2 linked regions of the Kluyveromyces lactis genome follow. The protein of the gene in region 2 interacts with the protein of the main gene of each other region in a pairwise test. Links are inferred from orthologs where the notes say so. Each region holds a gene or a part of one and is shown on either strand. Other genes may lie near its edges.

Region 1 (3,123 bases), on a different chromosome or scaffold from region 2:
ACCTTTTATTCTATATCGTGTTCCGCTTTCTTGAGGATGATTTTGGTTGTTTAAACCGGCAAGGAAACCATTTTCGGAACAAACCTATTAAAAGCGAAAGGTGTCCTTAACTTCTGAAATGCAGCTATATATATACTAAATAATACTAGCTCATTTGTACATGGTTTTATTCATAAAAGGCTGAAACTCGAGAAATCCGAATTGCTGATCATTCATTACACAAGAGCCCATTCCGTTATATACGTCCGAACCGAGTGATCATCAACGAACCTGTACCAGTAACTCTCTGCAATCCTGTACCCAAGACGTGCTTCACCTCCACTCTTGGTCCCTGTGGTCATTCGTTTGCTCCAACACTTTTTGATCATCAACTATTTTCTCGCCATAACGGGCTTTTAGGCAGAACCATCATACAAAATCAATTTTCCATTGTCGACATATTTCCATTAAACCTGGGGTAAATAAAATAACACAAATGATATATACACAAGGGAGATGTAGATAATATAGATAACAGTATGTCGGATTATTAGTACCTTAATCAGTCTATTTTGGTCCCTAATCTATTTCCAGTTCCAGCGAAAGTGCTTTTCTTTAACGGGGTTCTCAACCTTCTTCTGGTCACGGGGTCTGTCCTGTTTGATGACGAAACGGGTTTGGAGGTGATGGATAGGACACGTCCTATCCATAGAATGATCGAGGAGAACCATCTTGGTGATCTGAAATGACCTCTTCCAGAGAATCCGTACGCTGGGTCCTTCCCCATCAGATAACCGTACAAGGGACCGTAAGTCCATGTGTCTAGGCAGGAGTAAACGTATCCAGCACAAAACCCGACCATTGTGACGCAAAACCTGCTGTAACCATCGGTCCCGTCATCAAATAAGAACGAAACGAAAAGATGCACTAGCGATAGATATTTACCCAAGATTGGGAATAATCCGTAGAACATTACCTTCACGTTGCTGTTGTCCAGAGTCCACGTATATAGGATCATTCCTATGAATGCGTTAGTGAACACTGGGTATGAGATCTGGCATGCTTCTACGAGCACGACGATCAATGCAAAGTTGAAACATATGTAAAACAAATAATCGATGGATTTGTTGCTGAAGTGCACTAATTCGAGATGTAACGATTTCGAGTATACTGCGTATAGGTCGAAACATGCTTTCATGGCATCGTTTGGTAAGATGAGGAAACTAGTGAACAACCTCCAGATTTGGAACTTGAACAATACACCACGTAAAGACCATTTGAAATCGCTGAAATAGTACGGTAATACGTTCAAGCGTTGGATCAAACATATTAACACCATTAAGAGACATATTCCTCGGGTCACCGGTGGAATTTGTCCTACAAACTGTATCAATTCGTTACGCATAGTCATGGCTGCTATGAATAATCACGCGTATCGTATATCCCACTGATGTTACTGAATGGTACCTCCGGTGTCTATCTTGACAGCGCATCTGTATAGTGAGTATAAATATCTTTCTTTCACTGCAACTTGGAACTGAAATTTCATAGAACCCGAAAATTAAAGCTATGGGAAAGACATAGATAGGAAAGCACAGAATGACAGAAATTGAATAGTTAAGTAATGATCCTCTACACAGGTATACGCCTAGATTTGTTTTCTACTTAGTGCATGGCAGAGCATATGAATTGGTCTAGATAAATTAGGTCAGGACGGCTAGATTGCCCTTATGCAATCATGTTATAGTTATCTATGTATTTCTTTCTGTATCTCGAAGTTTCAATATTTGGAAAAAGCATTAAAACGGAAAAACTTGCTGATGCGATGAGCTGAAGAAAGCAGATAGGCTTTTCACTTACTGAGGTGGTGCTGAGACCGGTTCAAGTTCTGCAGAAGATACAGAGTAGCAGTGTGGATATAGAGTGAAAATGGTGGCAAAGAGTAATCGTGAGATTCTTACCGGTGGTAAATCTTACAAGCAGAAAGCTGCTAAGAAATTCGGTGCTGATGAGGTAAAGTTCGATAAGGACTCACGGTTGGAATACTTAACTGGGTTCCATAAGAGAAAGCTTGATAGACAAAAGAAAGCCAAGGAGTTCATCCAAGAGCAAGAGAGAAAAGCTAGGCTCGAGGAAAGGGCCAAGATCAGAGCAGATAAAAAAAAGGCTCTTGAGAAACAGCTTGAAGATTTTAAACAGGCGATGAAAGATGTCGGTGATTATGTCGGTGTAGAGGACGACGACGAAGAAGCCGAAAATGGGAAACAGGGAAGCGATGAAGAGGCTGAAGAATGGACGGGATTTTCCGATGATAACGGAGATGCAACTGAAGAAGAAGAAGAGGATTCTGACTCTGTTAGTGTGAAACCGATCTTAAAGAAATATGTACAGACTTACTTAGATGATACTACGGTAGACATCGAACCCTTAGAGCCCAATGACAATTTTGAGTACCTTGCGGAATTAAATAATGTGAAGTTAGAGAAATCGGAACAAATTTTAGATCAAAGCATCGAACGTGCGAAGAAATATGCAAAGTTTTTGGGAGTTGAAGAAAAATCTGGTAATAAGAGTAAAAAGAATAAGAAGTTCAGATACTTGACCAAGAACGAGAGAAGACAAAATCAAAGAAAGGCCAACAATAATAAACGTAGGAAGTAATTAACCTTTTTTTTTTATTTATTATCTTCCTCTCTTTCTAAACATCTCATTCATCCATTTTCCCCCCCTCTGTTGTTGCAATGTATTCTACCTCGACTTTAAAGAATAACCAAATCCATCTTCTGATTATCTCTAAAATTTGTAACCAAAAGATGTTTAATTCCCCATAAAATACAGAGTGCCCACTGATATACTCCCAGAACCATACGAATCTCAAAATAAAATCGAGCGCCATAGCGCTATAATACCACGCATTTTTCCGGTACAACAAAATGCTTCTTAAAAGACCGTCCGCTTTGTTACTACTATTATTGTTATTGACACTAGTGTCCCCATTCACAAAATCGAACAGCTCTAGTTTCCAATCCATGGTCACATCCCACCAGAATGAATACGCGGAATTCCAAAACATGAACCAATACATCATTCCAAGTGGGCCCAGGTTGTAATATCTTGTATAGACTGTAACTAGCATGATAGGAA
Region 2 (3,386 bases):
CCCCAGGTAGCGTCCAAAGAAGTATCTGAAGAAGATATTTGTGTTGCCAATATTAATGAATATGTATTCACTGCGGAAACGGAGATAAAATCGGCACAAAAGGTGCTAGATCTTACTACCAAACGGCTGACAAGCGCTATTTCATCGGGTCTTTCTCAAGAGATTAAGAGAACACTTCTTAGGTTGAAAAAACGCTCAGAAAAGAACTTGGAACAAGCTTACACGAGTTTAGAATCTCTTAGGAAACTCCAAGATGAAATATCCAATGCTTCACAAAATGTGGTTATGATTAATCTTTTAAAACAAGGCAGTACCGCTTTGAAGGCTATCAATTCACAACTTTTAGATGAAGATTCTATTTCAAACATATTAGATGATTTCCAAGAAAATACAGAGAAGCAAGACCGTATTCATAATTTGTTAGTAGGAGAGTCGGTTTCCGACAATGATGCTCTTGAAGAAGAATTGTCACTGTTAGAGAAGGAGCTATCAACAGAGGATACAAAAGAGAAGGAGAAAAAGAAGATCGAAGAACAAAAATCTGCAGCACCTTTGGAATCTGGCTCAACAGAAGATTTGATAAAGAAACTTGGATCCTTGAGGGTATCGAGCAGGGACTCTCCTCGTGCAGAGAAGACGGAAGTGAAGGAACCGAAAAAGGAAGAGATGACCGAGAAACTGTTGGCCTAATTCTTCCGATAAGAGTGATTGCTCATATTTGGTATTAATATGTATATTTAATTCGTTCATGCATACATATGATATTTAACATAAAGGCGATTCATAAATCAGGTGTGCTATCTGCTGTTGTCGTCTGAGACATGGCCGTAATGTATAGAAGATGGAGAGACAGCTCTTGAGGGTATCGATGCATCAGAGTGTACCAGACGAGGGGAAGATAAGGGAGAAACATATCTAGATGAAGCTTGAGATGTTAATGCTTCAGCAGGTTCAGGAATATTTTGATCAACAACCGTTGATTTACCGTACCACCAGGACGTCACGTTCTGATACATTTTCCCAAGCAAACCTGGTCCTTCTACATCTGCAATCTTACGAGAATATGTATGCTTTTCCAAAGGCTTCAAGATTAATGCAGATCTTGGAGTAAGCTCCAGAGCTTTCAAAGATAGTAATTCTTGTGATTCTGTGAAAGTTTCACGTGGAATACTTCGATGGAACTGGTACGGACCATCCTTATCTGTCCTATTGGCATCCACCCAAGTCCTTACATCGTTTAAAGTTTGAGACGAATCGAAATCGTTTTTCAATGTCTTACCGTCTGTTAATCTTATAAGCAAGGTGCACACTGCTGCGTTTATTATATCTCTGTTTTTAATATTATCGTGAATGGGTACAGCCAATACTTCATTGATGTGTTCCTTAGTATGATTTGGAGATGATGACGATAATCTTCGTTGCTTCATTTCTTCACGGTCCGCTTTCATCAATCTAACAATACGTTCTCTTTCCTGTTGTTCTGTCAACTGGTGCTTCTTGGCCTTTATTTGGTACTCCATCAATTTCGCATTTTGTGACAGACAGCTACCGGACCTGGCGCCGGTATCACCAGCGGCACCAACGGTATTGGATGCATCAACGGCATCCGTTTCAGAGATTCTCCTCTTGCTTTTACCAACTGCCCGGATCAACCTAGTAGCAAATCCGTCCATGTCCAACTGATCTGGATTTATCATCTCCACTATTTGTCCCTTAGCAATACAATAAACGCTAGGAACCTTCACATCCGGGAATATTTGCTCAAAGTAACCCATTTCCCTGCTTCCAGCAGCTAAACGTAACCAAACGCACGAATCCTTCAACTGCTCCCCTACAAGTGGTGTAAACCACGACTCAAACCACGAATTATCTCCGCCCGTAGTATAAACCAATAACGCCTTGTTCTCTCGCAATGATTCTTGTACCGCATTTTCCACAGAGGAAACAAAATGCGTATCCAGTGTATCCATCGTATTCATATTTGCCTAATCTTACACTTACCACTCCTAAAAAGCTCACCACTGCTTCGTTGCTTCTATCAACAGTATCGGATTTGTTTATTGTTCACTGATTAAACTATAAACGTAGTAAAACCCCTTTCAATGTACGTTTTTATAAATGCAAAGAAATGACAGAAACTAATGACTATCGCAGATCTGATCAGAAAAGAAAAACAATAGTTTTATGATGATACTTATGGGGAAAACGGGATTTATATACGAGTCTCCGACGTGTTATCCTAGGTAAATCACTTGGGGTTCAGTTAGGACGGTTGGATGATATTTTGAGCACATCAGTTGCGTAAATATTGAATGTGCGTTTGGCTGATATAGCTGGAGATTTCTGAGATACGAACCGACAAGAACAAAAAAGAAGTAAAAGAAGAACACTTCGATTGATGTATTGATGAGCTTTTCACAGATAGCTCAGCTCCCTCATATTGATGGATTACAACTAGGAAGAACAATTGGGAAGGGCTCCTTTGCCTTTGTGAAGAGAGCTAGTTTAGAAGTTGATCCGTCCACTGTAATTGCTGTCAAATTCATACATCTTCCTTCATGTGAGAAACAAGGTATGAGTCAGGAAGATGTGTTGAGGGAAGTTAAGTTACATTCTAGATGCTCTAATTTTGTTAATGTGCTAAAGGTTATAGATTGCAATCTTTCTGATCCGTTTCTTTGGATAGCCATGGAACTGGCTGAAGGTGGTGATCTTTTCGATAAAATCGAACCTGACATTGGAGTCGACTCGGAAGTCGCCCAATTCTATTATAAACAACTTATAAAAGCTATAAGTTATCTGCATGATACCTGTGGTGTTGCCCATAGGGATATCAAGCCGGAAAATATCCTATTGGATAAAGATGGGAATTTAAAACTTGCAGATTTTGGGCTAGCATCGCTGTTCAAGAGAAAAGATGGATCAAAACGTATTTCTAGAGATCAACGAGGAAGTCTTCCCTACATGGCACCGGAAATAATATACTGTGATGGGTACTATGCTGATATGACAGATATTTGGTCCATTGGTGTTCTATTATTCGTTTTGTTGACTGGAGAAACGCCTTGGGAACTTCCTCACGAGGACGATGAAACGTTTAGAAACTTTATTAAAGGCGAAGGAAAGCTAGATCAGGGATCTTGGCTGAAGATAGATTTCGTTGAATTGAATCTCTTGAGAAAAATATTACAACCAGATCCAGAGAAAAGAGCTTCTTTGGATACTTTACGGAAACATACATGGTATCAAACAAATCCGAAATTTGCAGATGAAAATGGCCTTTGTAAAAATCCTTCTTTGCTTGCAGAAAAATTACTATCAAAGCTTAAAGTTTCTCTATCAGATGCCGATTATTTATCTTCTACGCAGGAAGTGTTTGCCAATCA

What was found.
Region 1: the proteins of KLLA0_F01298g (region 2) and DFM1 interact in binary tests that used the Saccharomyces cerevisiae proteins (3 or more experiments, as listed by UniProt). The link is inferred for Kluyveromyces lactis from reciprocal best matches to the Saccharomyces cerevisiae genes UBX7 and DFM1.

The regions. Positions count from the first base shown.
Region 1 is NC_006037.1:186,938-190,060, reverse strand, and holds DFM1 (Dfm1p), read right to left. Parts: upstream 1,391-3,123; coding exon 542-1,390; downstream 1-541. Other genes in the region: rRNA-processing protein RRP17, read left to right, coding at 1,909-2,640; ERD1 (Erd1p), read right to left, coding at 2,687-3,123. UniProt on the Saccharomyces cerevisiae protein: May be involved in the degradation process of some misfolded endoplasmic reticulum (ER) luminal proteins.
Region 2 is NC_006042.1:120,581-123,966, reverse strand, and holds KLLA0_F01298g (UBX domain-containing protein), read right to left. Parts: upstream 1,980-3,386; coding exon 798-1,979; downstream 1-797. Other genes in the region: phosphatidic acid-binding protein CHM7, read left to right, coding at 1-690; serine/threonine protein kinase CHK1, read left to right, coding at 2,407-3,386. UniProt on the Saccharomyces cerevisiae protein: Involved in CDC48-dependent protein degradation through the ubiquitin/proteasome pathway.